Regions from separate parts of the Mus musculus genome. Here regions 1, 3, 4, 5 and 6 are each reported to be linked to region 2. The links are microRNA targets in miRTarBase. Many come from high-throughput screens and were not tested one by one. Region 2 holds a microRNA gene; each other region holds the end of a gene's coding sequence.

What was found. The annotated mature microRNA mmu-miR-124-3p reads UAAGGCACGCGGUGAAUGCC and lies in region 2 at 2,860-2,879, shown strand. An mRNA with a match to its seed (bases 2 to 7 or 8) in the 3' UTR can be bound and repressed. Matches are read on the target gene's strand: a 7mer-m8 pairs with bases 2 to 8, a 7mer-A1 pairs with bases 2 to 7 and ends in A, and an 8mer does both.
Region 1: the mRNA of Sypl is a reported target of mmu-miR-124-3p. Seed matches in the 3' UTR shown: 7mer-m8 at 664-670.
Region 3: the mRNA of Tpd52l2 is a reported target of mmu-miR-124-3p. Seed matches in the 3' UTR shown: 7mer-A1 at 3,633-3,639 and 8mer at 3,068-3,075.
Region 4: the mRNA of Mboat1 is a reported target of mmu-miR-124-3p. The part of its 3' UTR that is shown has no 7-base or 8-base seed match.
Region 5: the mRNA of Tmem100 is a reported target of mmu-miR-124-3p. The part of its 3' UTR that is shown has no 7-base or 8-base seed match.
Region 6: miRTarBase lists Cplx1 as a target of mmu-miR-124-3p. The part of its 3' UTR that is shown has no 7-base or 8-base seed match.

The regions. Positions count from the first base shown.
Region 1 is chr12:32,975,209-32,980,482 of GRCm38, forward strand. Sypl (synaptophysin-like protein) reads left to right here. Exons shown (of 5, transcript NM_198710.3): 5 at 382-4,294. The coding sequence ends at 516. Among named protein-coding and RNA genes, the nearest start is that of Gm40874, 18 kb to the right of the region's middle.
Region 2 is chr3:17,792,864-17,798,137 of GRCm38, forward strand. It overlaps Mir124a-2 (microRNA 124a-2), which reads left to right and starts at 2,799; the gene lies at 2,799-2,907. Mir124-2hg (Mir124-2 host gene (non-protein coding)) reads left to right here. Exons shown (of 3, transcript NR_033490.1): 2 at 1,730-2,150. It overlaps Gm51272 (predicted gene, 51272), which reads right to left and starts at 2,878; the gene lies at 2,822-2,878.
Region 3 is chr2:181,514,202-181,519,475 of GRCm38, reverse strand. Tpd52l2 (tumor protein D52-like 2) reads right to left here. Exons shown (of 9, transcript NM_001373959.1): 9 at 1,514-4,396. The coding sequence ends at 4,301. It also overlaps a transcript of Dnajc5 not described here. Among named protein-coding and RNA genes, the nearest start is that of Dnajc5, 3.6 kb to the left of the region's middle.
Region 4 is chr13:30,244,772-30,250,014 of GRCm38, forward strand. Mboat1 (membrane bound O-acyltransferase domain containing 1) reads left to right here. Exons shown (of 13, transcript NM_153546.4): 13 at 578-1,923. The coding sequence ends at 698. Among named protein-coding and RNA genes, the nearest start is that of Gm40863, 12 kb to the left of the region's middle.
Region 5 is chr11:90,034,713-90,039,986 of GRCm38, forward strand. It overlaps Tmem100 (transmembrane protein 100), which reads left to right. Exons shown (of 3, transcript NM_026433.2): 3 at 564-1,793. The coding sequence starts at 637. The coding sequence ends at 1,041. Among named protein-coding and RNA genes, the nearest start is that of Tmem100, 7.0 kb to the left of the region's middle.
Region 6 is chr5:108,515,451-108,520,724 of GRCm38, forward strand. Cplx1 (complexin 1) reads right to left here. Exons shown (of 4, transcript NM_007756.3): 4 at 3,104-4,876. The coding sequence ends at 4,679. It also overlaps the pseudogene Gm10086. Among named protein-coding and RNA genes, the nearest start is that of Cplx1, 32 kb to the right of the region's middle.

The sequences.
Region 1 (5,274 bases), not on the chromosome of region 2:
AGCCTGGCTCCAGCTGTTGGAATAGCAGTGAGCAGTTAGAAGAGGGAAGGAAGGAGGAGAGTCAATGGAAGAAAAGTACAAATGTAAAAGATGCAAACTCGGCTCCCCGTCGACCCTCCTCACCCTAGATACCAAAGTCTAAATTCAAAGTAATAAGGGGAAGATCTCACCTTTCTCAGATGTAATCAGAAGTTCTACATGCAGAAATAAAAGGTTTTCATTTTTGTTGTTTTATGTTAGATATAGAGGTTTAACATGTTGGGTATAAGTCATTAGCAATCCATAATTTGTACAGTGGACTGTATGTAGTCTTCATTTTTATTCTACTCTGTATGTATCTGAAAGCAAACATTAGATTCTTATGTGTTTTCCTCTTTATAGATCTTTGGCTTTCTGAATATGATACTTTGGGGAGGAAATGCTTGGTTTGTGTACAAGGAGACCAGCTTACACAGTCCGTCAAATACGTCAGCTTCCCACAGCCAAGGCGGTGGCCCACCCACTTCTGGAATGTAACTAAGGGGAGAAATACACTGTATGAAATGTGTGCTCTAGCATGCCTTGTTGCCAACACCTTGAAAAGCATTATTGTTTCTAATAAAAAGTAATGGCTTTTTCAGTAAATTGGTGGGTTTAAAAATTTGCTGCTTTTCTACATAAAATGTGCCTTTTCTAGAAATTTAAGATGTAAATGTATTTTTACATGAAAGTTTGAAAATTCGGGAGCCTGTTATGAGATGATGTTACTTTTAACTGAACAATAATTTAACTAAGTTGCTTCTAAAGTGTTTACACCTTAAACTTTAACATAAACCTTCATTCAGAAAACAGTTATGTCGTATCATAATATAGGAAGAATGTGTTTGGAAAATACACTACTGTTAGTTTGTATACATTAGATCTTTCAGGCTTGGCTTGTTTAAAGAAAACCTTGATTGCATAAATCATATTTAGAAAAAAATTAGTGCAATTTTATATTTGAATATTGTTCATGTTAAAATTTTTTTGAATTGCAAAGACTGGGTATATATTTTGTTTCTGTTTTTTCTAAATGATCTGCTGTACTTATTAGGTGTACTAAAATTGTCTTAGAAGCGAGGGTTTGAAAATTGTACAAATGTGTAGAGGTAACTTTGCACTTGTGCTGCATGGGTATATCCATTATTTCTGGTGGTTTCTTAGGCTTGCAAAGAGCACGGTTCCCAAGACGGGTTTATACACGTAGGCGTTCTCCATCAGGCTTGTTTACTATCTTTTGTTCATACCAAGAGAAAAAAATCTACTTTTTTTTTCCAGACCCTGTTTAGAGGGTTACTAAAAATTAAGGTTGCCTTTTACGTTTGAAATGTTTAACATTTAGTCAATGATGTTTCTTCTCCTGAGTTTAACATTGATATTGTGAAAATAAATGCAGTTCAGATTTATTTCTTAAGATTCATTCTTCACAAAAGGGTGATTAAGGAATTATGCTCATAAAGGAACCTAAGCAAGCTGTATTGTGTGTGTGCTGTGTGTACACACATTTGTGTGTGCTCAGAATACATGCTTTCTGCTCCTGACTTTTTGTTGTACAGGATTCAGATTCCTAGTCCTACAAGATGATGTTTGTGTGTAAGGCACACCTTTTTTGTTGCTTTATTCATGACAAAGTGTCAGTTTGAGAATGTATGTTTAATAAGCAAACAATAAAGAAGTGAAAATAAAGAATGCCCCGTTGTTATATTACAATGAACTCTTCATCCTAAAGGTATAAGCATTGCAAAATGGAACCTCTTTTCAAAGCAGGAGATAGAATTACAATAGTAATTTTAAGTGCCAATAGAACAGACTAAAATGGTTCAGACATTTCATTCTTGTTTGAAAAATATTTATAACTATTAGATTGTCTTCCTGGTAAATATTTTATAATTGGTCACTCAAATAGGGAAGATTACTGACTGAGGGCATACAACTTCCAGGCCTGTTTCCATAGTTCAGTTGGAAGACTGCTTGTCTAGCTAGCCCCGTCCATCCTTCTGCACTACTGCATACATAAGCCAACGATGGCAGCCCAAGCCTCAAATCTCAGCACTCCATAGTTTAAGATCATCCTTGCCTGCTTGGGGAGTTCAAGGCTAGCCTGGGCTATATCAATCAGTGAGGAGTACTCTTTTCCTGCTCTCTCTCTCTCTCTCTCTCTCTCTCTCTCTCTTTACATATACCATCTTTTCCTCCCTCCTCCTTCCTCCTCTTCCTTTTTCCTCTTCACCTCCCCATCCTGAAGCGAAACTGCTGGGATTAGAACCTGTCCTTGGCCAGCTCCCAAGCTGGCTAACAAGGTGAAGCCTGTATTTGTATCTGAAAACATGGAAATAAAGAATATTGACCTTGGACTGGAGAGATGGCTCAGGGGTTAGGAGCACTGACTGCTCCTCCAGAGGACCCACATGACATTTAATAACCAGCTATAACTCCTAGGAGGATCTAATGTTCTCTTCTGGCTTCTACAGGTATTACATACATTCACAGACAGTATGCATGCAGGTAAAACATTCACATAAACTTAAACTGACTTCAAAAAAAATATGAAAAGCAAATGGGTCTAGAGGTTTTGAAATGTCTTCAGCACAGGTTCTCCATAAATGTTAGTTGTGTCTAAGACAGCCTGGAGTCCAAGGGGCTAGGGGACACAGGCTGAGAAGCGGAAAAAGCTTTAAGCATCTAAGTTTTTCCTTTGGTAGTGTTTACAATTTGGTTTCCCTTAATCAATCCTAAGTGTTTGGGTGTATTTGTTTTTCTGTTGGTGCAGATATTGGCAAGGCTAATGAAATTAAAAAAAAAAAAAGTAGTCCATTGAAATGAGAGTAAACTCAGAAAGGGCTCCTGCTAGCCTCCCCTCCCCGCTGTTTTTTAGGGAACATTGTAGAGGCAATTTCTAGGACAGAAGTGATAAGCTTTAACTTCCCAGAAGACAAGCTGCAGAGAGACAGCTAACAGACTCGTTACTAATTGTTTTTAAAAAACATTCACCTAGATAAAGATCTTTAAATGTGTAAAAGGTAGGGGTAGAATTACATGGTATTTTGTGTTTGGGCATAATTATAATTTTTATGTAATATTTCCAGAAACAGGTGCCTGTAAAATCATACCGAAGAACTTTATATGTACCAGATTTTTAAAAGAAATAAAATATTGCTAGAAGAACTTGTTCCTCATGGAGATAGAATTGGTACAGATAGCTCAGAATGAATATTCTCCTCAGTACTTGATGCTGCCGGGCCACTCGTCACTGCTCTGAGTTTGAAGCGTCATGTTTGTTTTAAAGCCTGTTTGTGGTTGCTGTTGAGGCTGACCTCCCTTTAGTTTAGTTACAGCTCCTCTGCTTCTCCTGCCTTCCCTTCTCAAACCCTTAGCTGAGTTTTCTTCTGTGAGACTTTCTCTGTGGATGTACACAGTTCCCTACATCACCTTGGTAGTAACCCCTTGGCGTTTCCATGGCTGCAGTGTTCGCCCCATCTGTGGCTTGTATTTTCACTGGATTTTGTCATATAAATTTGTAATTTCTTCATTTCAATGGTATGTAACTACCTTCCTGGTGGGTTTAGTTTCTGCAATGGTTTTGGCTGTGGTGAAGTCACATATTCCTGTATACATTTTAGAATCCTCTTATCAAGCTCCTAAAGACCCTTTGTGAGGTTTCAGTTGTGAAGAATTGCATTGAATTTGTACATCAGTTAATTTGTGAAGAATTGTCAAATTTATAATGCCACAGTTTTGTATTTATAAACATGGTATATTTCTGCATTTTTATTTTATGCTTTCCAATAAAGTTTTATAATTTTCTACATAAAGATTTAAGATTATACTTAGCCTCAAGAATTTTCATGCTGTTTACACAATTACATTAGATTATATTTTGAATTGAGTTGTAATTGTTTATTGCTGTTATATATAAACAACATGTATAGGTTTTTACCTACTGATAATTATAGAAGTTGGCAGTTTTTCAAACCTTGAATTTTTAATATGTAAATTATCCTGGTATTTAATGTTTATCATCTACAGATGTTGATAGTTTTATCATGTTTGGAAATTACACATTCTAAATATTCTCTAATTATAAAGTGATCTTCAAGAAAACCTGTTTTAAAAGTAGAAAAAGTACATTTACCTGACATACTGACTGATAACTGCTTCAGTACATCACTTGTAATGACAGATTTGCACTGTTGTATATTGGTAGTTGTAGTAACGTAAACTGGTCAGATCGATTGGTTCTTTATAGAGTTGAATTAAACCGATCACAGTGAGAATGTTCATATGAACCTTGTTTGACTCTGCTTGGACAAGAATGGCATTTATTAGCCGGGCGTGGTGGCACACACCTTTAATCCCAGCACTCGGGAGGCAGAGGCAGGTGGATCTCTGAGTTCGAGGCCAGCCTGGTCTACTAAGTGAGTTCCAGACAGCCAGGGCTATACAGAGAAACCCTGTCTCGAAAAACCAAAAAAAAAAAAAAAAAAATGGCATTTATTTAGAGCTGGGTAGTGGTGGGGCATGCCTTTAATCCCAGCACTTAGGAGCCAGAGGCAAGCGGATCTCTAGGAGTTTGAGACCTGGTCTACAGAGTGAGTTCCAGGATAGCCAGGGCTACACAGAGAAACCCTGTCTTGAAAAACTTTTTTAAAAATGGAAGAAAAAAAAAAAAAGGAAAGAGAAAATGGCTTCTTGAATTACAAAGAATGTGGTTAGACTCTTTAAGCTGGTTTTGTTTAGTTATAATTGACACATAATAAATTACACATGACGAAGTATACAGTTTAAATATTGAAATGCGTCTGGTGAAGGTCCCCACAACTAGAAAATGAACCAATATCAGTTACTGCCCAGTGTCCCTATCTGTCTCTGACTTTACCCACTCCAGCACTTATTGTCACTGGCTATTCTCTAAAATGTTAGGTGAGTTCATACTATAATATAATTTTTTTTCTGAGTGTTCTGTGTGTGAATTACCACACCTTGCATATGTATTCCTTTGTTGGTAAATAGGCTGTTTGGAACTTTAGGCTAATGACAGTTTATGGACATTCACAAGTCCTTGGAATGTCCACTTGGGAGGCTGAGGCAAAAGGATTTTGAGTTTGAAGATAGTCTGGACTATATAATGAAAACCTATTTCAAAAGAGGGGGAAAACAAAAAAGTGTTAGTTCTGGCATGTAACTTTAGACTCCACACTCAGGAGGCAGAATTAAGCAGATCTTGCTGAATCTAAGTCCAGCCTGGCCTACACAGTG
Region 2 (5,274 bases):
TATTTCTCTTGTGGATTATATAACTGCTCCCTTAAATTTTCACTTTCAACCCTGTGACTTCTGACTTATTTTGTAACCAGTCTTCTTTGTGACCTGTAAAGGCCTGGAAGATCGTATAAATCATTAACAACACACAGGTTAGAAAAATTAAAAAAAAACAATTTACATTTAAATTTGAAATAAAATTCAAGTGACGTTGAGATTTGTAAGGCAATGAATTCCGGATCTTTAGCCATCGTGCTTGTCCAGAGAATGAAACTGCAATTCTTTGAATGTCCTTGTTTCTTAGCATAGATGATAGATATGTTTTTGACACCCGCATTTTAAAAATTTAAATATTTAAAAAGCATTTGAGAAGGATATTAAATGGAATTTGGTGGTATTCTGATCATTTCATAATGGGCTCTTGTGGTTCTTGTAATGGTGGCCCAGGGCTCTGGTAGAAAGCAGAGACAGTTTGGGAGTCATTGTTTAGGAAGGTGCTCCAGCCTGTCTTCATTCATAAGAATAAGCATAAAAAATTTAGACCTTGGCCTGGGGAAAGGACAATGGTGGGGACGAAAGATGCAGATATGCCTTAACCATAAAATGAAGAGGTGGTCGCTCATCTGGAGCTTAGCTCTGTCCATGGTGAGGTGTTGGCTGTGCGTGCCAGATTTTAGATGAGGATTGAGAAAGTAGTACTGTCTCTATTTTAGGAGACAGAAGCCAAGTGTGGTGACTTTGACTTGTGTTGAGCCAGCCTGGACCTTGACTGGGGGCTGTGCAGAAGGCAAGAGAGACTGAGGAGCTCTGTCTTAGGTAGTTGTATTGGGGCCAGTGTGGTGCGTGCAGGAGAGTGTAAGCAAGGGCAAGGAGGGTGCCCTTTGCTTTGCCCAGGCGCAGCTCTTGGGGGCTGCGCGCCTTCTGCAGCTCTTTGGTTTCAAGGACACAGCGAGCTGTTCAGGACTTTGGGAGCCAACATCTGTCTGACTGGTGACGTCAGCAGCCCGTGTAATCCTCTTGTGCTGAAGGCAGATGCCTTATTTGTTTGGCTGGAGCGAGCCATTAATCCCTAATTCTGGATCAGCAAGCGAGGGGGAAAGACCGGACCGCTACGATCCACCCCCTCCCTGCCCCCACCGCCCATCCTAAAGCACCTTATATCGCGGAAACCACTCAGCCTCCTCTTTCCTCCGAGAACACGCGGAGCAGCCCCTGAAAACGCTTTGGTCCTCTGCAGGTTTGAGCAGAGCTAGCAGCTCTTTCGCCTTTGGATTTCTAGGGCTATGCCTATATGAAATTCTTTATTTCATCGATCATTTCGATTTTCATGCGAGAACTCTTCAGTCTTGCAGTTTGCAGGATTCTAAACCAAGAAGGGGTGGAGATTGGAGAATGCGGTTCTGGCGTGTGGTCTGAGGGAGGGGTTAGATGGGTAAGGGCGCGCGGGATGCGCAAATCGCTGAGACTGCACAGAGGACAATCTGAGGACTCGCTTTCAAGACTCCATCTCAGGAAAACATTTCTCTCGTCCTGACTGCATCTTCTCACCTTCCGAAGCCGGGATTGAGTTGGGAACTCCCCTGTCGCCCCGCACATTGCAGGGGCTCCCCGAGCTCGATTCTATAGGTCCGGACGGCCGGTCACCTTGGCTCCCTAGAGTGATTCCTCCCTCCTCCTGTCCCTCCTCTCCAGTCTCCCCCTCCTCCCTCCTGCTCTAATTCTGCGCTTTGATTCTGTTTTTCAGGGGGAGCGCTCTGGGGTCTCCGCACAAAACCTGCTTTTGAGCCCTTTGGCTTTCTTCAGGCGAGCGCAGTCCGTCCATCCCCCTGGCCCACCCAGCCGCAAGGGATGCTGTGAAAAGAGCCGCTGCTTGCCGCCTCCGGCCTGCCGTCCAGAGGGCTCCGCCCGTAGAGGTCAACTCCCCTCATTCTTCTTCTTTCCATCTTGCCCTCCCTCCGCCGAGCCCAGACTCGGATCTCCTCCTGACTCCCGCCGCAGTCAGAGAGAGCGCATCTGCTGCGCTGCCCTTAAATCTACGCCCAGAGCGGGCTCAGACCCGATCTCTGCTCTCCAGAGCCGGAGGAAGCCCGAGCAAGCAGCCTTTTCTCTTCGCAGTAAAATCATAGCCAGACCAGATGGGCCCCAGCTCTCCCGGGACTCGGCAGGTGCTGTTGAGTTAATTTTTCCGCAATACAAAGAAGGAGGACCCAGCCGGCCTGGGATTCTGATCTTTTCCCAAAATTTCCCAACCAAAATCGGGCTATCAAAGGCGTATACGTGTGTTTGTCGGACATACAAACATGCATGATTATATTCGCTTTTTCTGCTAGATCTCTGGCAACAGGGGATGAGTGACAAAGGTTTCTGCAGCAGAACACTCATGGTGTGGTCCTTAAAGACTTGCCTTTCCTTACAAATGTCTTAGGACGGCATTCAGGGCGAACCAACTCAGTTAATTGCCTTCAGTAAAATAACACGATTACGAAATTAGATCTGTACCAGAGGGGTAATTAACTTCGATCCATGTCATCATTTGAAAACTAGATTTATAGACATATGTATGGGTTTTAGGTGCGCTGTAAATGGCATGCAGATGTATGCATAAGAATCGCAGACTCATGCACCCGCTACTCTTCAACCTTGCAGACTAATTAATGGCAACTCTGACAGATGTGGCGGGAGGAAAGCTGAGGTGGGAGTACTGCTCAGAGCTACAACTCTAGGAGTAGGGACTCCAAGCCTAGAGCTCCAAGAGAGGGTGAAGGGCAGGGAGAAAATTATAGTAATAGTTGCAATGAGTCACTTGCTTCTAGATCAAGATCAGAGACTCTGCTCTCCGTGTTCACAGCGGACCTTGATTTAATGTCATACAATTAAGGCACGCGGTGAATGCCAAGAGCGGAGCCTACGGCTGCACTTGAAGGACATCCGAGAGAAGTTAGGAAGGGTGGGGAGAAACAATTCTAGAATGAACCCATCCTGTGCGACACAAGGACCCCTCGCATTGATTCAAAATCTTTAGAATACAAGACAGTCAAATGTTTTTCAGCGAGAATCTGGGAAATCCGCATGCATACTCCCAAGGGGAATATTAGAGGTTTCATTGACAGCTGTCAGGAGAGCTGTAGTTCCCATTGGTGCAAACGGTCTAAGAGATGGCACTCAGAGAGTGCTGGCCTTTTCCAAATAAAATTCTGGGTCGAACTGGGAAAACAAAACGGATGAGAAACCCCAGACCACACTGCATAAGAAACCTCAAATGACTCAATTATCAGTGAAAATAGGACCCCCGCCCCAAGCTTTTCACTATTCTCCCATTCTTTACCCAGTCTCATGGTAGCCTTGACTGGATTTAAAAGGCCAAGGCAAAGTGACAATACCCAAATCAGTCAATATTGTCCAATAAGAGGGAAAGGCCAAGCCAGGAACTCTAAGACTTGGTAAATTAATGTATTTGGAAGACCATGAGGTACTTAGTTAAGGTAGGTTCCATAACCCGAAAGCCTAAGAAAACCACCGCTGAGAAAGAGCCTTGGTGGAAGTCTTTGTTCTGTGGTGGCCTATCTGGCCTGGGAACAAAGGAGAGGCTGGAGAAGGATAACCCAAAGTGGCCGCACCCTCGCCTTGCTGACAGGATCATCTTCCTCTTCCTCTTTCTTTTCCTCCTCCATTACCTCCTCCCCCTCCTCTTGTGGTAATTCTGCAAACAAGGCAATAGAATTATAGAATCGCTTCTTCTCTAACCCAGCCCCATACCCCAGGATATTAGTTAACTTACAAATAAAAACCTTGAAATACGGAAAGACAGGCTAAACAGTATTTTGCTGAAACCATCCACTCTGACAATCAGCTGATTTGGCCAGAAACCCGAGTAGTTAACAAAATGTGCTAGAGAGAGATTAAATAGATTTTTTTTCCTCTTAAATCACAATCTTGAAAAGAGAAACACACGGTTTTCAGTTGAGGATCTTATCTCAGATATGGTCACCAAAGATACCTCTCAAAGGACCCTAGAGTGTGCCTCAAAATATATTTAAAAGGTTCTGACTGAGGTTGATTTAGTGACCAGAGCAGGCAGGAGTAGAGAAGCCTGCAACCACTCTCGTGGCTCTCAGCAAGGCTTTCTGTGGGACAGCTTTCCTTACTGAGTTCTGAGGCCAAGGCCCACAGAGTGGCAGGGTGATGGTGCCCAGGAGCTGGCAGTGAGCCTCGCTCCTCACAGGAGGTACTGCAGTCCTAGGAGGCCTGAATCCCACAGTGCAGAGAAAACCATACTGCAGAGCACAGCTCACTAGGGAGGCAGAGTAGCTTACCAAATCCCATATAATGAAGATTTGTCTTAGGAGTCCTGGGTCAAATGTGTCTGAATTAATGCATTCAACATATATTTAAAATTATCAGCATTCTAATTTAAATATTGAGAGTATTGTATATAAATAGTAAAATATTAATTTCTATATTGAGTCATATGTGCAATGGAAAAAGTAATAGACAATAGATTGGTTTGTATTCAGCCGTGGGTCCAGGAAAGAAAATGTTCCATGCTTGAATTTCTTTGTAGATTCACATCATAAATACTGTCAAACATCAGTCATAGATAAACTAAACAAAGCTGTAAAGAGACACAGTGACAGTGATTTTTACCTGGGCATAGAAATGGTCCATAAATGAACAATGGCCTAAAAAATATGTTTTTATACTATTTCTTCTCTTCCACCTGAATGGTTGAAATGTAGCCAATGATTCAGGAAAAAATGAGCTCAGAAATGATATTCTTGGGGGTCTAGTTCCTATTCACTCCATCCTAAAAAGGTGGCTTTTAGTTTTGTTTTCTGATTTTAAAACTCTGTAAATTAGGATCTTTATATCCACAAATTTTAGGTTTGCATTTGATTTTACACAATCTGGGGGGGGGGGTGAGATGGCGATATCACACTTTGTTGGGACAAGAGCTACCTCAAACACAAAGAAACCCCCTCTTGTGTCGCTGAAAAAAAAAAAAAAAAAAAAAAAAAAAAAAACTCACCAGAAATGGGAATGGGTTTGAAGTGCTGAAGGTTGTCATGGATGCTCCTCCTTCCAGCAACGACCTAGTTATTCTGGTGGTCTCTCCTCACAATCCCCTGAGCTCCTCACAAAGCAAAAAGGGTCTAACAGTCCTGCTACATCAGTGTAATTCATATTACATAATAAAAACACAATAATACTCCCCGACCTAATCCTACTTGTTTACAGCAGTCCTATACTCTCGCTTCAGAAATCTTAATCAGTTAAAAAATATATTTTCTA
Region 3 (5,274 bases), not on the chromosome of region 2:
ATTGAGGCCCTGTGCGCTTTCTCCCTTACACCATGCTTAGCTGATGTTGTCCTTGCTCAGGTCAGTTAGGCAGCCATGTTGGTTATGTTACTTCACGGATGTAGCTTCTCTGACATTTTAAGGAGATAAATCTTAGAGCGAACTGTCTGGTCCTCTGGTTGTTGCAGCTTTTCCTCCCCTTCTTCCACAATGATCTCTGAGCCTTAAGTTCAGGACTTGTGGTGGAGTTCTATCTGTGGGGACTGGGCTCCACCAATCTGCATTCTGATCAGTTTCAATTTCTGTAATGATCTCTATCTGGAGAAGATGTTTTCCTTGATGAAGAGTGAGAACTACACTTAACCTATAGGTGTAGGGATGAGTATTTAGGATGTAATTAGGGACTATGCTGGTTTAGCAACGTGATCCATGACTTCACTAGCCCCAGATAGTCGCCTAGGTTTCCAGGATCAGGCGTGATTTCTCTCTTATTGAGCAGGCATAAAGTCCAATTAAACAGCTGTTGGTTAACCAACAAGATATATGTGCCACTATTGCTGTCTGTCTTCAAGTCAGCTTTCAAAAACAAAGCAGATAATACTTAAGGCCTCCCATAACGCATTAAATAAATTCCAATCTTTTCTAACAGTGTCTTCTCCCTTCATCTTATACCTTTTTGCACGCTGGCTGAATTTGAATTGGCACATGTTCTAGGCCCAGATTGTCAGCAGATAGCTCAAGAAACTTAGTAAGTTGTGCAACATCAAGCAAGTAGCCAAAAACAAACAAACAAACAAACAAAACAAGAAACCCAATAAGCAGAAAGGCCAGGTTATCTATTGACTGAAGAAGGAAAGCTAGCTATAGAGATGCATGCCTGTCATCCTAGCAGAGACAGAAGGTTCTGAATCTAAGGTAAGAGCTATATAATGACATATAGCTATATAATGACCTTTGAGAGTGAGAACATGAGCAAACGATTCCACAGTTGGAAGAGATAATGGAATTGACCTGGAACCAACTGAAGACAGAAGCTATGAAGCTGTGTTGGGAATTTGCAAAGATGAATCAGACCTTAAATGATTACCTCCATATCTAGGATACTTTTTAGTCTCCAAATACATAAGTTTTATGCATTGAGATGTCTATAGTAATGCCATTTATAATAATGAAAATGGCCAAGGGGTGGCAGCAGACAGTTTATTCTCAGCACTTGGGAGGCAGAGGCAGGTAGATCTCTGTGAGTTCAAGGCCAGCCTGGTCTACAGAGCAAGTTCCAGGACAGCCAGGGGTACACAGAGAAACCACGTGTCAACAAAATAAACAAAAAAGGAGAAAGAGAAAACTTATAAGTAAATATGGAAAACTGCCCAACTGTACAAATAAGCACATTCAAATGAAATATAGTCATTAAACTACACACAATAACTATAGGCAAAGAATGGCTACAACACACACACACAATGCTTGTGACAGTTCTTCACAGTAAACTCCAAAAGCATGTTTAAAAAAAAAAACCTTACAAATGTTCACAAATTAGCAAGCTTGTTTATTTGTTTATTTATAACCTAACTGTAACCTTGATTTATAGACAGGGTTTTTTTGTGTAGCCCTTGCTATCTTTGAACTCTCTTCATAGACCAGGCTGGCCTCACACTCACAGACACCTACCTGCCTCTGCCTCCTAAGTGCTGAAGGTGTATATGCCACTATGCCAATCTAGTATGTCAACCTTTAAGAGACTGTATGACAGGAATTCTGGCAGCAGTTACATATTTGAGGGGGTTTTCAGGTTTTGCCTTTGATGCTAAGCTTTATTTTGTCCCTTTATATCAATTAGGCAGATTCCACCATCCTCAGTCGGAGTCTTCCCTAGTACAAACCCTCCAACATGCCCTGGTTCTACCCATTCTCAGCTTGCTCCAGTCTACAGTACTCTCTGAGGCCTTCATCACCTCATGTGATGAGAACCAGAGTTGTGAGGAGGAACACATCTTTTAAGGAGTACAGTCGAGGCCTGGGTCCATGAACACAGTCATGTACCCACAAAGCCCAGTAGGCAACCTCTCATCCACAGAGCATGTTATAGTATTTGCTTAATGACTGGAGCATAGTGAATTGTCTTCCAATATCATCTAGTGCAAATATTGACTTTCTAGCCCAGATGTAGTTGTTGCCCTGTGGTCGAGGCTTGCCCAGTGCGAGGGTCACTCCCCATCCCACCCATACCACTTAGCCCTTTTAATCTGGCCCACAACTCCAACTTACCCTGTTCGATAAGCACTTAAGGGTCTTCAATTACTCATTATTTCACATGGCCCCTCATCTGCAGAATAAGAGCATACCTCCTAAGGATTGTTGTACCATGGGGTAACAGTCTTCTCTCAGTGGGACTTAAGATGCTGGTCTTCCTTAATGCCCTCTTCTGCCAGGTGAGCTCCTGGCATAGCTTCATAGCAAAAGTCAGCAAAACAAGATGTTTACTGGGACAAAAAGGCCCCTTTAGTGTAGCCAATCTTGATAATGGACTGTAAACCTCTACATTGCATGCCTGGTATATATTCTTGGTCTTATCCAGAGATACACCTTCTACACAATTCCCTCCTTTTTTATATGCACACCAAAGACTCGTAATTTATACATGTTGTCTCCTGCTTGTCCCCGTTCAAAGCAAGGAATCATATGCATTTACTCTGATCTCTTGTCATTATCCTAAAAGACAGACCAAACAAATGGATGTGGATTTTCCTCCAAAGGAATGCTTTATTGACAAGCTGCCTGCTAATATTTGTAGGAAGATATATCAGTGACCTACACTCCTGTAATGTGTTCCCTCACACAGCTATTGTTTTTAACCCTGGAAAAGAAGACACCAATGGTGTGCTCTTCTTCAGCTCCCCAGTTATTCGTTGTTCCTTGCTTTGTGTGGTAGAGTATTCTAAGGGTGTCCAAAGAAACCAGGAATACTTGATAACCAAGACACCTCACACTGTGTCAAACCAGAAACTAAAATGGACAAATCCCACCTCACCCTAGGAGTGTAGAGATGTGTACAAACAGATAAAGTCTTTGCCCTGCTAAGAGCCATTAAGGCACAGTGCTGGCCCTCTCTCCAAATCATGATCTCAACACACAGGGCCCTGGTATTGAGAGGCTGCAGAATGTGGCAATTGGAAGCAGGAGGAAAGAACTTAGAAAGAAATCTTTGAAGCTCCTGAGAAAAGATGACAGCAGAGTTCTGGCTGAACCAAAACCACATCCCCTACCTGATCTGTAAGGCTGGTTCATTTATTCTCCATGTAATAAACAGACAGGCAGAGACTATGGACCAGAGCCCTGCCCACTGTCAGTAAAGCAACACTGTGCAGGGCACATCCCATTCAGGTGCTAAAGATAAAGGCTTTTTTTTCTTCTCTCAGCTCTCCTAACCTACAGCACAAGAGCCCTGTGGGTCAGAGTGGAAAGCTATTGGAAAATGCCACTCCTTAAGAGAACCAAGTTTTGCACACCAGGAGAAAGTATTAAAGAAATAAAATGTAATAACTGGTACTGGCAGGAGTATGAGATGGGCCAGAATAAAATTCTACATTGTATCATAACCCATTAAAGAACCTTCATTTATTTAGATATATAAAAAGACTATAAACAAAGCATAAGGCAATGTAAGGCTTGAGTTTCAGCTTGAATTCAAAGAAATAATATTCAACAATGAGGCTAAAGCTGTCTTGCCTCACTTTTTTTTCCTATTTAATTTTTGAAAAGACTATCACATTTAAAAAATAGTAAATCTGCTTCTGCCAAAGCCAGGTTGTTAGTGTAAGAATGAAGCAGTTGCTATGTTTCCTTTCTAGGGTCTCAGAAAATAGACAACTCTCTCTCAGTCTGTATGACAACTGCGACCATGCGATATTACCTAGGTAAGTGTATTCCTCCTGAGCTAGGGGAGGAGGTCAGGAAGGAAATACTGTTCACTCAATACTCACACTTCTTCCCTCAGCACTCTGCTGAGACCTTCAAAGGGAGCAGGGCTCCTGGTTCAGTGCTCCTCAGGCCTGAGTGCCCCGCCACCCTGTCCATTTCCTGTGGCCCTTGAAAGGATGGCACAGTGGTCTGCTTCATCTACGAACTTTAGTGTAAAACATTTATGTACAAGACTGTTCTCTAATTCATGCCAAGGCAGCCACATCTGCATGAACATGGGTATGACTGTCTTCAAAACCAGCTCTTCACTGTCTCTGGCTGGTGGCTCTGTCATGCAGAGTTGCAGCTGTGATGATGAGCGTGTGCTTCTGTACTCTGTGGCTGGCAAGCTAGGACAGGCTTAGAAAGGCGCATGATCCGGCAATGTCTGGTCACCACTTCCAGGAGAGGGAGGGAGGTTATCGCTGCCATTCTCTCTGCCACCCACAACCTTAGACTATAGAGAAAACAGAGAAAGTAAGTCAATCTAAGACAAAACAGAAACAGAATAGGTCCAGGGCCATGCTCAACTCTCTGCACATGTCTATGCATCATGGACACTGGTCAGCAATGAATCAATGACACAGTCTGGATAGGTTCTCCAAGAATCACCCATTTTGGTCGGGGGGTGGGGGTGGGGTGAGGGGGGTGGCGCATGCCTTTAATTCCAGCCCTTGGGAGGCAGAGGCAGGCGGATTTCTGAGTTCGAGGTCAGCCTGGTCTACAGAGTGAGTACCAGGACAGCCAGGGCTACACAGAGAAACCCTGTCTCGAAAAACCAAAAAAGAATCACACATTTTGTTTAGAAAAGCACTCATACTGTGTGGTTCCACCAGAGTGTTTACATTTTGTATATTAAGAAACATGTTTCTTGGGGGAGAAGACTAGAGAGATAGTTCACTGTTCAAGAGCACCTGTTGCTCTTGGAAAGGATCCAGGTTCAGTTCCCAACATCCACATAATGGCTCATAGCTATTCTTAACTCCAGTTCCTATGCCTTTTTCTGATCTCTAGAGGACCAGACATATACACAGTACACATACATACTTGCAGGCAAAACACAAAGAAAAAAAAATTGGGACAGGTTATATTCTATATCCCTGGCTGTCCTGAACTCTCTATGTAGACCAGACTGGCTTATAATTCAAAGATCTGCCTGTCTCTGTCTCCCAACTGCTAGGATTAAACACTCTACTTATGTGTGCATGGTTGAATATAAAGACAATCTCTTATAAAAAGCCTATGGCCAATGAACCAAGGCAGGATAAATATGAGGTGGGAGAGTGGCGGGAAGAGAGATCTGGGAAACACTGAGAGGTGCAAAGAGTTTGACTG
Region 4 (5,243 bases), not on the chromosome of region 2:
CCAGTAAAATGGTTCAGCCACTAAAAGCACTTGGTGTGCAAGTCCGACAGCCTGAGTCCAATCCCTGGAACCTGTGCTAGAAGGAGCACACTGACTCCTAAAATTTATCCTCTGACCACACATGCGCTATGGCGCCTCTTCGCAAGCCTCTCCAATGAGTCATAGAATTAGAGCTTTTAGTAAATCAGGATCCTTCCTGTTCCTGAGGTAGATGAGAACTCCTCAACCCGGAGAAATGGGTGGGAGATCAGGCTGTGCCTGTGCTTAGAGGACAGAGTGAACTCCCATGTGCGCTGACCCCCGGCTTTTGATCAGCCGGAATGTTTGGCTTCGCACAGGCAATTCTCTTGGTCTGATCATGTCAGTGGGATGGTGCTGTGTCTGCCTCACCCAGCTTTGTGGTTTCATACATCCTTGACCTGCTTGCCCACCAGAGCCAGGAGTGAGAGAGTCGTTGGGACTCGATGCTTCTGCTGCCATTGAGCACAGCCTCCTTTCATCCCACTGAAGATGATGTCATGTGTGTTTTCTGTTCACGTTCTTCTTTGAAAGGCAACTCTTGTGTTTTTACTTCTAGGTCCGTGTTCTTTTTTTTACACATCATATGTCTGCTGATAATCCTCTTTCTGCCAATCAAACCACACCAGCCTCAAAGGCAGTCTCGGAGTCCAAATTCTGTAAAGAAGAAGGCAGACTGATACCCACAGAGAAACGGTGAACAAGAGAGTTGCGGGACATTGGGAAGACATAACGGACAGGCTCAAGGGTTCTCCAGTGACTCGGAGGAGATGTTTACATGTATTTTTTTTTTTCCGCTGCAGGGAATATTTTTATGTCTTTTTTTTTTTTTGTACCATTAAATCACCATGTCTAGCTTTGTCTGCATACTTTACAGGGCCTTTCAGAAACACAGCATAGACAAGAGGCCACTGGGTAGGCTCTTCTAAAATCATTTGCACCTACTGAAATCTGGAAGCATGACTCCAGCCGTTGCCTCCGGCACTTAGGAGGTGTCTGCTGAGATGACTTGTCTGGAGTTTTGAAATCGGAACATTCCCAGGCATGATTTTTTTTTCCTCTTGGCAACTCCAGACCCTGGGATATGCAACTTAGTAGGCTGTGGACACAACTCTTATGCTCAAAAGCCCTTGGAGGAAAGAGATTGTGAAGGGAAGTTTTCAGGGTATAGAAAAAAAAAAGAAAAACCTCCAGGAACTGGGAAGATTAGCCCCTGAATGCTTGAATGGATCGATGCGTCCCCAAACCAACTGCATTATCACCCCAACTCAGCCAGGAATGTACCATTCCCTTTTTTCCTTCTGAATTGAGCCAAGATTGGACATCCGAAAGCTGCCTGCGTGCCCCAGGAGTTGGGGAGAGAGTGGGGGCTACTGGTTTCCATTTCCCGTGCTTGGATCTGATTGACTTCTATTGACCCTGAGAAGGCACCCGGATACCAACCAGCACACCGTCCAAAGGCGGCCAAATGTCTTTTCAAGAAATAGCTGCATTCAGCATGCAGAGGCTCCCTTTTGTCTCTGCATATCAAGGAAGTGTCGATGATCACGGCCAACGTGTAGACACTAGGTAACGTCTGTAACGGGCTACAGCCAGCTTTATTTTAGGTGATCTGTCATGTCGGAAAGCTGCAGGGGAACAACAGTGCTCTACTCTGTCTTTGTTATGAATGTGCTGTGGCTCCTTCGGGGAATTTCTACTGGATAAAATAGTCTATGTGAAAGAAGGAAACATAATATTTAAAATGTGGACGATAATAATAATGATGATGATAATAATAATAATAAAATATGCGCTTCAATGATGTGCCTCAATCAAATGGCCTGAAAGGTGAAAATTTGTTCTGAACAGATGATTTTTAAAAAATTAGTTTCTCACTGAATAAATAATATATTTCTATTTTAAGAAATGATTCCTCATAAAAATTATTTTTGTTTGTATCAAGACGTGTGTATTTTCACAAATGCATGCCGAGCTGGAGTTTTCTTTGTTTTAAGTTCTAGCATGTTGGTCAGTACTTACCATGTAAGTCAGGAATGGAGATTGACTTCTTTACCCGATTTCTTGTCTCCATCCACAGCTCTAGGTACGGCTTATTCCTCCACAGAGGAAGGCAATGTGGATTAGACATTTTTAGTGGTCTTGTGTTGCAGAACTATTGATAGAACTGAGACTTAAGGCCAAGACATTCTTGTGCGAGCTACTACTATCCATGGCTTTTCCATGAGTGTCTTTTCTAGTGTGTCTTAAGATGGTGAAATGAGCAAGTCTTTTACCAAAACTTATCCAGTCTTGGTGCTACATAGGAGAACAATAGTCCCTCCCGGGGGGTACCAGTGTGCAATTGGTTCAAGGGCCAGTTGCGGATTCCAGCATCTAATGATGATTAAGTTCCATATGTAAAATGGCAATTTGCAGAAAGCATAAGAATAATCTCCCTTGTATTTTAACTAGTCCGTGGGTTGCTTTTGTAATAGCGAATATCGTGTACATTCTGGGTAAATTATTGTTAGCCTGTGATGTTTTGGAACAGGAAGAAACTTACCTATACTTTTCAGTGTAGCCGTCACCTCATCCGGATATGATGGAAACAGAAACAAACACGTCAGCAGGAAGCCAGAGGAAGTAGAAGCCAGAGAAGAAAATCTGTGGAAGCTGAAGGAGAGGGGAGGGCACACCAAGCCCTGGGAGGCTGCCTTGCAGGCTTCTGCTGAGGGGCAAGGGGCAGGCTATCCTAGCCCTCTGGATCCTGCATGGTTATGTAGTATGAACTCAGCACATGAGGCCCACTCAGAGTTAACCAGGAACTCAAGCGTGCCCTAGAACCCAAGAACAGTATTTGTGATTGATCAACAAACAGTTCTCAACCTGTGGGTCCCACGCCCTCAGGATCACAGATCAGATATCCTACATATCATATCTACATTCCGATTCCTAACAGCAACAATATAGTCATGAAGCAGCAATGAAATAATTGTATGGGTTGGGGGCGGGGGTGTAGTTGCCACAACATAAGGAACTGTGTTAAAGGTTGCAGCATTAGGAATCTTGAGAACCACTGTGTTAGAGGATGGGATGTAGGTGCCTGAAATGTCCCCGAGCCTCCAGCAGGGATGTTGTGAGGTACAAACATGAAAAAGCTTTCACACCGAAGAGCATGGGAACAATCAGGATTGACAGGAAGCATGAGAAGTCCGCATGACAGAGATGCTCTTTCGTACCAGGCTTCCCTGTTCTTAAGCATCTCCACTTCTGAGAGAACCTTGGAGATGGGAGGAGATGTGGCTGCTGGGCCACCATCTTGTTTCTGTGAGGCTTCTCATAAGCTCTAAAGGGACAGCACCTAGAAGGGGAGATCTGGTTAATAAATCCAGTAGGGAAAGCTGTATTGATTGCCTTAGATTTCTAGGCTGTCTGAAGTAGAATGTGTGTTTAGTAAAGATGGGTTAGGTGGAGAGTTTTGGGTTAAACTAAATACATTATCTGCTCTTTAAATTATTATTAAAAAGTGTTATATGTATGAATGTTTGCCTGTATGTATGTATATGCACCATGTGTGTGCCTGTTGACCTCAGATGCCAGGAAAGGGCATAGATTTCCTGGAACTCGAGTTACTGATGGTTGGTGAGTCATAGAAATTAAACCTGGGTCCTCTTTAAGAACAGCAAGTACCCTTAATGCTGAGAATTCTTCCAGCTCCTGGCTCTCTCTCTCTCTCTCTCTCTCTCTCTCTCTCTCTCTCTCTCTCTCTCTCTCTCTCTCCCTGTCTCTCTCAAGACAAATGTAAAATATTCTCTTTTAGTGGTTTGTTTTTGTACTTGCCTTTTTTTTTTTAAAGACGGATCTCAAACTCAGAGATCCACCTGCCTCTGCCTCTGCCTCCTGAGATCTGGGATTAAAGGCACACACCATCACTGCCAGCCCTGTACTTATTATTTGGCAGTTGAGAGAAGAAGTAGGGAATTCAGTCTGAGATTCCAACTAGTTAAGAGAGAAGGCAGCAGGAGGTCTTGGAGGAGTTGACATGCATCCCTGGGACTGGTAGGACTCAAGCCATACATTCTTTGAAGTGTCTGGGCAGTGAATAGATGATCTACTTCTTCACCTCCACTGTACATCTGAACTACTTAAGAGGCTTTAAGAAAACCAGAGCCTTGGTGGTCTAGAAACTTCATCTTTTTCTCTTCCATTGTCTCTGGCACTTGGCATAGTGCCTGCTGTGTAATGAAGATTTAGTAAGTGTTTGTTGAGTGAATGAAGGACTGAATGGATTAGTTTAATGCGTCATTGCTCTTGACAGTTTTGATTGAGCTGTGTTTACACTGGGAAATGTTTCTGCTTTTCAAAATTAGTTTCTGAGGTAAAGGCCTGTGCTTGCAAAGAACACTGGAAGCATGTTATGGGGTGGGAGTGGGGGAGACCACTCAAACAACGAGTTTACATAGTCTCAAACTGCCTGTTCCATCCATTCACTAATGAATGCATTTATTTATAATATGTGTTATACTTGGTGTAGGCTTGATGCTTTTAGACAACGCAATTAAAAGATGCTGGAGACCCATTCTCTGCCCTATATAATGATCTCAGAAATATGTAGTTCAGACCCCTGTACTATGGGATGCCCTGGGGACATGCAGCACCTTCAAATTAGAAAGCAGTTGGGTTGGTGGCCTTATCCCTGCTTTCTTGTAAATTTAGAGCAGCTATTTCTTAGGGCTAATTCTCTATCAGGGCAGCAACTTCACTGTCCTCTGGCCTGCTGTCCAAAAAACTTAAGCTTGATCTTGTCTGAAGACCCCTTGACCTCCAGCAAACAGGGCACCACCCATACCAAGAAGCAGGTTCCATATTCATGGCTGCTCACAGAAGTAGTTTCCAGGCTCTGCAAGTGACTCCATGGGGCCCACAAGGTAAGTTATTTTTGTAAAAAAAAGTCTCAGCTCACATGAGCTTTGCCAAACTTTCTAACCTTGCCGACTCTGGCCGTGAAGAAGAGCAGAAGCATCCATGAACAACTTCATTTTTAACCTGCTTTCCTTCCTACAGTTCTGGGAACTTGGCAGTGGCCTTCTCTAGTAGAGGTGGAAGCCAGGGCTCTGAGACTACAGGTGTCAAGAGACAAAGTTAAGAGAAACTCAGCTGCAGATCCAATTGGCTTTTTCTTGTAGCATTCATCTGGCCAGAGGTTTCCAGATGCAGGCTGGCTGGCCAGAGCTTGCAGATAC
Region 5 (5,274 bases), not on the chromosome of region 2:
TGGGGTTGGAAAGGTCCCAAGCATACACTCTACGGTTCACCCTGTTTAAGGAGTCAGCCGATGGAGAAGCATGCCATTTATGCACTTGCTGTTGGTCCTGACGTTGCTCTCATGAGCAGTGAATGGGTGATAGCTTGGAAAGAATGCATGTCATGCCCCGCAAAACTGGCAAGAGTTCACGCTGCTGAGAGTTGTGGAACTGTTTATAGCATAGTCTCCTCTTGAATGAGCCATCTTTGGATTAAGATTCGGGCTTTTCCGGGCTTAGAGAAAACACAGGCAATCCGCAAAAGAAGAACGCTTATAAAGGATACTTGGAGACCACCGCGGTTGAGGAAATACTGCAGAGCACTTCCTGCTTTCTATCTCTCTCCTTTTCTGGGCACAGCTGTTTCACCCTCTATTTCACTCAGTGCGAAAGACCCCACAAATGGAGAATGTGAATAAGTGAGGCTTGTGCTCCTGGGTGACCTGGGACAGGAGGGGCCTCTCCACCTCTCTGCTACCATTTGCAGGGCTGGTGCTGCCATCTTAGCTGATGTCTCCCACCTTCTTCTTCACAGCTTGCATCCTGACCAGGCTTTCCAAATCTAGCCTGTGAAGCGAGATAAGAAAAATCCCACAGAAGAAAAAAAAATGACCGAAGAATCCACAAAAGAGAACCTGGGAGCTCCAAAATCTCCCACACCTGTGACAATGGAGAAAAACCCCAAGAGGGAAGTTGTGGTCACCACGGGACCCTTGGTCAGCGAGGTTCAGCTGATGGCCGCCACCGGGGGTGCCGAACTCTCCTGCTACCGCTGCATCATCCCCTTTGCCGTGGTGGTCTTCATCACTGGGATTGTGGTCACCGCTGTGGCTTACAGCTTCAATTCCCATGGTTCCATCATCTCCATCTTCGGCCTGGTCCTTCTGTCCTCCGGACTGTTTTTACTAGCCTCCAGTGCCTTGTGCTGGAAGGTGAGACAAAGGAACAAGAAAGTCAAGAGACGCGAGAGTCAGACCGCTCTTGTGGTAAATCAGAGGTGCTTGTTTGCTTAAGACTGAGTAAGAGCAAACGCGAACGCTCACCCGCCCACACTGCTCTAACTCAGTGAACTCATTCATAGGAAACCAGCCCGGTACCGGATGAGCTCAACTTTCGAATGAACTACCAAAATGAAAAATAGGGCATAGAGAGGACTGAAAATGAGGGGTCAAGACGGTTCCCCCTTGGTAGGGAATAACTCATCTTTAACGACAAACTTAACCCTAAGGGCTATTTCTAACACAGACAGAGGAATCAGCTTGCTTTTCCTGTTAAACGTTTAGGGAGTGTGGGAGATGCACAGCATTAAATAACAGTTGGTTCCATTTAGAAAGTACCCAAGGGAAGAATGGACAAATAATGAGAGCCCTGGCAAGTGGTGTTATAAAAACGTTCCACCAAAAGCCTACATTGGCTTGGCATTCCCACGTACCTAAGAAGTTCTGTTATATATATACATATATATTTTTTCCAATAAGTTGATTCTTTGCCCCCCCCTTTTTAAAAGAATTTTCACTTTCAGTAACATCACTAGAGGTACTTTATTTTGAAGAATAGACTAATATTTTTTATATTTTAACAATGGACAATTGTAGATGGTTGTAATGATATGTCAGAAGAAAACAGAAATGTAGGTAACACAGATGACACAGGGACAGTTAAATTAATATTGAAATAATCCAATCTAGCACCTTTGATGGCTTTTATACAAAAGTTCAGTGTGCATTTCACTCAAAATAATAAATGCTCATGGCTGCTGAAACTTAAATGCTAGTTTCTGCTGTCCTTATTATTTTCAGATTTATTTTATTTGAATTATGTATATTCCTGTGAGGCTGTGCTGGGGTTTGTGCAATGAGTGCAGGTGTCCTTGGAGTCCAGCAGAGGGCGCCTGATCTCCTGGAACTGGAGTTACAGGTCGTTGGAAGCTGCCTGGCCTGGATCCTGGGAACAGAATGTGGGTCCTTTGCAAGAACAGTGCACACTCTTAACCCCCGTGCCATCTTTCTCACCCTTGTCTTTATTACTTTTGTCGCTATTCTGAATTGTCCACTTCCCCTCATCTCATTTGTAAATTATCAGCTGCGTGTTTCTCAGCTGGAAATTTCTTCTTCTACTGGAAGATTGTTGTTTTCATTTCATGTTACAGTTCAGCAATACTTAATATATAATATATTAATATGTTCTTAAGGGTTTCTAAAAATGCCAGTAGGAAATCAGTGCCTGGGGTAGGAGATTTAACAGTGTGCTATTAAATGTGCCTTGTGCTTCTTGATGATTTAATTATGAACTGGTACGGGTTGCATATTCCACTGGTCATTGTACTGCACAAATAGGATAAGACTGTGGCTCTGAGCTAGCCAATATCCTATATACTCCAGTAAGAATCATTTCTCATTACTGTACTTTAAACTTCACTCAACCAGAGTAAGAAGACAGTTAAGGATGAAGTCTTAGCATTTGCAGAGACTGGAGGCACCTATCGTATTACATTCATTGGAAGGGATTCTATTGAGGGACTTCCTAAAGTCTGCCAGTAGCCATCTGACATTGGCTACTCCCCAGTCCTTGCTAGCTTTTGTAGTTGGAAACACCTTAATGTTTCTAATAACATTGAATGCCAGTGAATGAATAGGGCTCACTGCAGGGCAGGGACTGCCCTGTCTTGATATGGTTTTTTGGTTTTGTTTTTAAGTCCATGACAGGCAAAAAGAAACTGCTGTATAAAGAAACTTCTCAGGGCAAGTTGAAGCTTCTCTGGACTGCTCTAAACACATCTCATCTTTCACTCCCAATCCAATAACCCTGTCGTATGAGTCAGCCAGACTAACTCCACCAACCTGCATTAGGCTCTGGTTTTCCTGCCTCTGTGTCTGCCCAGACGTTTCTCTCTCCCTTATAATGGTAACACCATTTTTCACATCCCCCTCTCCATCCCAGGCGACCCAAATCTTGCTTCTCATCAGCACTCTGGCTCCAAAGCTACCTCCTCCCGGAAGCCTGTCTCCTCTGTGAACACACTGTGCTTTCCCCAGCTACTGGTTCTTATCGTTTATGGCAATTTCAGCTTCTCATTACATGGGCGATATAAGTGTGTTTATTTCTCCCTTATAAGCCTTCTTAGACAAATCTGTACAGTATACTGTACCTAGTGTGCTGGCTGGTGCATTAGCTTGCACAGGGAAGAAACACAACAAATACTCAAATGAGGTGTTAAATAAACTCAAGAATGAAGAGTGAGCGGCTTATCCAGAAATACAGTCTATTCTTATATCTTGAGAGAAAACGTTTTGATTCTCAACTTCCCCAAGAATATGTTACCAGGCATTCCCCAGCTTCATGGCAAAGGCAGGTTAGGGTTAAGAAATGGTCCTCTGTTCTTGAGCTAAGTGCCCACCCAGCCCTTAAAAATGATTGAAAAGCAAACGCGTGAATTACTTCTGGCCACCAGGGGGCCTCATGCTGCTACCCGAGTCTCCAGAGAAATCCTATGGGATGACTTAACTGCTGAACTGATGGGATAGAATCTGCAGATAGCCATATGGTTCCTAGCTGAAAGGAACAGATGTTTTAAGTGCCTCCTTTCCATCCACTTCCCTAAGTTTTTCTTAAACAATGGAGATTTCCTAATATGGAGAGACTTTGGGGATTCACCGGGCCTCATCCCTATAAAGCCACCAAGGTAGTCCTAATATGCTGCAAATGGCAACTATAATAAGGAAACTAGACAAGACTTGAATTACAATCATAATTGCAGCATGCCATCCATGCTTGAGTAGCATCTGGCTTTACAAATGGTTCTATCATACACAGGGAAACGTGGGCTAAATGTGCCCTCATATATGATGCAAGCTGCTGTGTAAGTATGTATATATGCAGGGTCTCACACTAGAGCCCAGGCTAGCCTCAAATGTGTGGCAATCCTTCTGTCTCAGCCTCCTGGGTGCTGGAATTACAGGAGGGAGGGGAAGGGAAGAGAAGAATGAGGAGAAGCAGAAGGCTGGGGGAGAGAGGAGAGAGGAGAGGGAGAGGGAGAGGGGGAGGGGGAGGGGGAGGGAGAGAGGAAAGAGGAGAGAAAGGGAAAAGATCATGGATTTTGAACTTGGAAGAAATGGTTATATAAACTCTCCTGTTAAACTAACGAGGTAATCTTGAGAAAATAAGTTTCCTTTTCAGAATGAAGTTAGTTTATAAAGACATGTTTTTATTTCCTACCCCATAAAGCATTATGGGGGCTTCAGGGATGACTCAGTGGTTGGCAGCACTTGAGGAAGAACAGTCTGTGTTCACCTGAAACCACACATGTGCCCCCCTGTCTCACACTCACACACATACACATACACAAACACACACCACACACACACACATGCGCACACTAAAAATTCAACACATCTTAAAAACAACGTACTATAAAGTTTGGAAACTGCTACTTGTAATATCCCTTATATTGACTGCAGCTTCCCTCTCTGAGGGTCTCCACAGGTAGTAAAGCATCAAGCAGTTACTGGTTTGGATTGACTGTCCTTAACTAGCTACTCTGTTTAACCTTGACACAATCCACAGGTTGTCTAGTCCCAAAGTCATCTGGAGGAAGTCTCTTCCCCAAAGATGAATAAGCCTACGCACACAAGGTGCGGGGTGGGGGTGGGGGGATGGGAATGGGGGTGGGGATGGTGTCAGGAGAATAAGTCAATGAATAGATCAGCAGAGAGAAACGTTTTCCTCGGTGCCCCTCTCCTATGGACCTGTCTGTCATTTCATTCACTTTTATCCTTATCACTCTGCTGACAAGATGACTGAGGTAGAAATCAGCAGAGAGCCACTAGGTATATATATTTTCAACCTTGTGGTTTTGAATTCCAAGGGCCTAAGTCCCTACATTTTGGCATCCATGAGGAATTACCATCACTCCTGACTCTGTTACTTGCTCTGTTTTAACAGGACCCAGGCCCAGCTGCCATTCATCAACAGGTTGTACCTCACCATACTGTGAGGCTAGGACTCCACTCTGCTGCACAGGCTTGTTGACCCAGGGACTCACAGTCAGGGAGGCCTAGCACTGGGATGAATGAGTGGTGGGCATGTGGTGGTCTGAATAAGAGTGGCCCCCATAAACTAATGTGTTTGAATGCTTGGTGCATACAGAGTGGCAGTCTTAGGAGGTGTGGCCTTATTGGAGTGGGTGTGTCCTTTTGGAGGAAGTATGTCACTGGGGGGGGGCGGGCTTTGAGGTCGAAAGCTCATGT
Region 6 (5,274 bases), not on the chromosome of region 2:
GAAGGGATAAAGGGAAGATGTGGCCTTGGGGGGTTGGGGGTTGGGGCGGGAACATGTGGCAAGTAAGCAGGAATGGGAAGAACAGAGGCCTCTCCCCAGGAGAGTTGAGGAGGTCAGAGGAGGTTTTCTAGGCAATCGAGTCTTTCTAGCTTTGATTGGGCAGGATCTGCATGTGATCATCTTGGAAACAATCCTGGGGGGTGTGGGGAGGAGTGGCAAGCGATGATTGGCTCAGACCTCTTCTGCAATTCCCACATAGTACTCCTTGCACCTCACACCCTTTCACCTGTGGCAGGTTTTAACTGGGCTTGGTCACAGGTACCCCTCATCCACCCTGGAAGGAGTCCTACCATGTCTCCCACCGCCCCTCCTTCCCATCCCCTTTCAAAACTGATCTGAAGTAGACTGAAGACCTGAGAGCAGCCAGTGTTCAAAATATGTGGACAGATGGCCCAGACCCAGGGGTCCTTGGCCCTGCTGGGTATGTCCTGGACAGTAGGATTTGTCTAGCTGCGGATTAGCAGGGATAGACAAAATGGTCCTTAATTGCTGGTCTTTTTAGTTTTTCGAGAATGCCTTGATGGTTAGGTAGCTTATGATTCAAAACAGCTCTGCTTCTCTGGGTAGGTCTTACCGAGTGGAGCACAGATCAGAGCCTGACTATTGGGCCTGGCTGCCTGCAGACACCAAGGAGAAACTAGCCAGAGACTGGAAAGCTGCCAAAGTGTTCAGGATATGCCAACATCCAAAAGGTTGAGAGACCTCCAGTGTTTGGGGCTAGGCTGGCTTGGAATACTCATACCCTACACACACACACACACACACACACACACACACACACACACACACACATACACACAGGTACAGGGAGAGTGGTGGCAGGAAGGAGGGAGAGAATGGCTCCTGCCTCCTATCTTCTTGGTTTATGTGTCACCTCCTCTGACAGCCACCACACCACTTACGAGTATCATCAGTTCCTGATCCCGCTGTTCAGCACCCATTTCCCTTCAGACAGAAGTCACCAGTCACAGTAAGTATTTAACACCTCTCCCATCACATACGCACATGCACACACACAAAACTACAGGAGAAGGGACCTCAATTATTCCAGGCCCGAGATGATACTAGAACATAATTCACCAGGATCTGACCCATCATTCCTTGGGTGGCCAACTGATCAAGTTCTCCAGCAGCTAAAACATTCAGGTCATTGTTTAAGTTCAAAAGGAATGCAGACTGGGCTGTGAGGTAGGTAGGACACTGGATGACAGATGGGTAGACTAATGGGTGTCCCTATATGAGCATCCATGCTGGGTGACAGCATGTAGCAAAGACCCAGAGATTTGGGTCTTAGGTACACCTCCAGGAAAAGGAAGTAGCTGCCACCCCAGCAAGTGAACTGTTATCTGGGTCATTCAGTGGTGCCTGGAGGTAGGTGTACAGAGGCAGTTGCAAGGGTGTCACAGGATTTTCTCTGTCCAATTACATTAGTGAAGAGGCCTGTGATTGAACGGGGGGTGGGGGGTGGTGGTGGGTGGGCGGGGCTAAGAGTTGCAGAGACAGAGAGTCTCTCAGAAGGAAGATGGCTACGGACATGTACCCACGTGGCATTTTTCAACCACAAGTAGCTATGATTTCACAAGGTTAGAAATATTGGGACACTTGACCCCTGAACTCACCCGCCCCTTCCTTTTCCTCTTCCGGGGACGTTGCTCAGAGGCACTCAGGATGGTCCAGCGTTTGACATACCGCCGTAGGCTTTCCTACAACACAGCCTCTAACAAAACTAGGCTGTCTCGAACCCTTGGCAACAGGATTGTTTACCTCTACACCAAGAAGGTTGGGAAAGCACCTAAATCCGCATGTGGCGTGTGCCCAGGCAGACTGCGAGGGGTTCGTGCTGTGCGGCCCAAAGTCCTTATGAGACTGTCTAAGACACAGAAGCACGTCAGCAGGGCCTATGGTGGGTCCATGTGTGCCAAGTGTGTCTGTGACAGGATCAAGCAGGCTTTCCTTATTGAGGAGCAGAAAATCGTTGTGAAAGTGTTGAAGGCACAAGCACAGAGTCAGAAAGCAAAATAGATATGCACATTTTTTAAGTAATAAAAATCAAGACTTGAAAAAAAAAGAAATATTGGGATAACGCTTTTATCATCAATTGGCTCTGAAATTATTGTATTGGCATCTTGTAAATTGTGATATTATTGATACATAAATCTGATTAGCTAATTAAGCTTTAAGAGTTTTGATTCTACCCAGGTAATGGGTATTGTGATGTGATGGCTGACTGTGGGGTATGTGGTAGCGAGAGCCAGCAGGCTGTCAGGAGCTCTTGAGCTTAGTTAGGCCCTGCCGGAGAACTGGTGGGTTCATTTTTAAAAAATACTTCCTGCAACACAAGGGATGCTCCCAAGGTAGCAAGAGGAGATACTACTGTACTTGGAGAAAGCATGACCCCTCTAAATCGTACCCACTTTCCCCATTTTGCTCTTCACCTCCACTCACCCCTGCATCCCCAGCAAGAGTGAGACATATGTAGCCTTTCTGCTCAGACTGGCAGGTTTTGTGGACATTCCATGTGTAGAGGAAGCCATAGGACTTCCCACCATTGCTATCTCCTACAAGAGAGGTGTCCCAGAAGGGAGACAGACAAGGACTCTTCTAGGACAAATGTGACCATAGCACCTTAGGCTGGGATGAGCATGAAGCAAAATGGGGTTGAGGTAGGGGCTGATAATGTGCCAGGGGAGAGAGCTGGCAAGACCTATGGTCACTTCTTCCCTATTCAGCAGAGTGGGCAGCCATCCCAGAAGGTGCACTAGTGTTACTGGGAACCAGGACAGCCCCTTGGGGTGGGCAGGGGAACAGGGCTGTGAAATTCCTGGTGGGCCCAAGCCGGGGAAGCAGTACAATCTGGATTCACCAGAGCCTTGAACTGTGAGAAAGAAGGTTTGTATGTTCTGGAGGCTCACTCCAGGCACTGGGGTCCTGAAGGGATCTTTGCCCTCTGGAGAATAAGAGACACCCTGTGTTTGTCCACAGTGTGAGGGAGGGCACCCCCTCCCACACCCAGGTCGAATGGTAGTCTTGGAAGGAATAGCCACACGGTGTGAAATCACTGTTTATTGGCTGTGATTCCCTCAGAGAGAAAATGTGAGGCCTCTGACATGCAGGAGGTGCAGGCACGAGGACAGACAGACAGGTAACACATGGGCTATTCTAAGCTCAGCGCCCGGTGCCCCATGCGCTAGGAACAGGATGCAGGATTGACTCAAGAGAGGGCCATCTGCTCAGAGCTGGCTTCTCAATTCATGAAAACCAGCCAGAGGCGCAGAGAATGGCCCAGGTGAGCAAGGTACTGTGGGCCGAGCATGCTTCATCTCTTTGGGCAGAGGGCATTCTGAATAGTATTGCAGTCTAATTGTTATGGCTTCTCTAAAGAGCTATGTAAGGTCATGAAGGTCAATGCTAAGCCACACACCTGGCCCAAAACTCATGGACACTTAATTCAGTTTTACTGTGGACAGGAAGGGTTATGGGAAGACCAGGCTGGCCTTTCTGTCAAGATAAAACTTACCAAATACAGACCTCATTTACCTGAGATTCAACATATTATGATGTAAATTAAACAAATATGAAGAACAATGGCTGCTGGCTGGGCAAAGGGGGAGTAGTTGGGTCATACTGCCCCTGGGCCACACACAGAACAAAACACCACAGCCCAAGCCCAGGAGCTTGCATTTACCGGCCACTGTCAGCCCTTCAGAGGAGGAATAGTGGAGAGGGTGGGACACTTGATTATGCGGCCCTCTGTCTGCTCTGCACGGGCGGGAATCACCAGAACCCAGGGCTTTTAGGAAGACGGGCATTTGGAGGGTAGGTGTCCAGGGGTAAAGCCAGGAAGATCCTAGGAGACTGCCTGCCCACATGAAGAGGACAGGAGGCCACCAGGGAGAGGTGGGATCAGGGAAAGATGGGACTCTGGAAAGTGCATTACAGACGATGTCAAGGGACTCCAAGTGTGTCTGAGACCACCCGCTCCAAATCTATTGCTGTGTTTCCTCTGGCCATGGAATTCTTAAGCCAAACCTTGCAGAGCAACAGAGAAAGAGACAGCTGGACAAAATATGCAAAGGCTGCTGGGGAAGACTAGGGTGGTAGCTCACAGACAGGAAGACAGAGCGAATGGTCCAGCAGGTCCAACAAGTCCAGAAACTGGGGCAATGGACTCAGGGAAGGGCTGGGGGCCCCAAGCACCCACTGCTCATTCCCCAAGTCCCACCCCACTATGGCTGTGCTCCTGAGTTTAGGCCCTGACTGGTAGCCACCCATCCAGGGGTGGTCAGGGCTGGCCCTCGGGGCCTGACCTTGGGCAGGCTCTGTGGGGATGGTGAACTTAAGATTAGTAAGGAGGGGTCCAACCACCCGAAGGCAAGGATGCACAGCACAGGGGCCTGAGGGTCACACCCTTGCCTGGTGGGGTCAGTGATGGCAGTATGGGGAGGGGTGGCCAGAGGCTCCCGAGGCGCGAGGGGGGACATGGGCAGGATAGATCTAGGACTATGGCTTATTTTTGCGGGGGTAGGGGGGCTGCATCTGCTCCCAACATCCCTTGTTGGGGGGAGACTCCGCGGGGGTCTGTACAGTGGGCAGGGCTCCTGGTGCTGACCCAATATCATTACTTCTTGAACATGTCCTGCAGTGGCCCAGGCAGGTACTTGATGACAGTGTCCAGGATGCTCTCATCTTCCTCCTCTGGCTCATCGCCACAGCCCGGTGGGATAGCCTTCTTGGGTCGAGTCAGGCTGCCTTCCGAGTTGGCCTCCATGGCTGCCTGAGCCTCAGCCTCACGCTCCTCCTTCTTCTTGATGCCATACTGTAAAGGAAAGGGCAGTCAAGGCGGGGCTTGCATACTTCCCTCCCCAGTCCCCAGCCTGGGTGGCACTGATGTAATACCAGAGAAGCCATGTCCTTCCTGCACTGAAGAAACCAACCAGCGTCTCTAAAAGGTGTTATTTATGGCTGAGGAAGACTCCAGCTAGGTTCCAGGCCCATCCTGCTCACCAGGGCTCCAACAGTGATCCCACTCAGGTTTTAGAAGAAACACACAGAAGATGGAACAATTAAGAGGTGCCTGAAGGACACATGGGATGTGAAAGAGAAAGAAAAAAAATCTGGGACTGCGTGGAGAGAAGTTGAAAGCGCTTACTGCTCCTCTGGAGTAACCCAAGTTTGATTTGCGGTGCCAACGTCAGGCAGTTTATAAATGTCTGT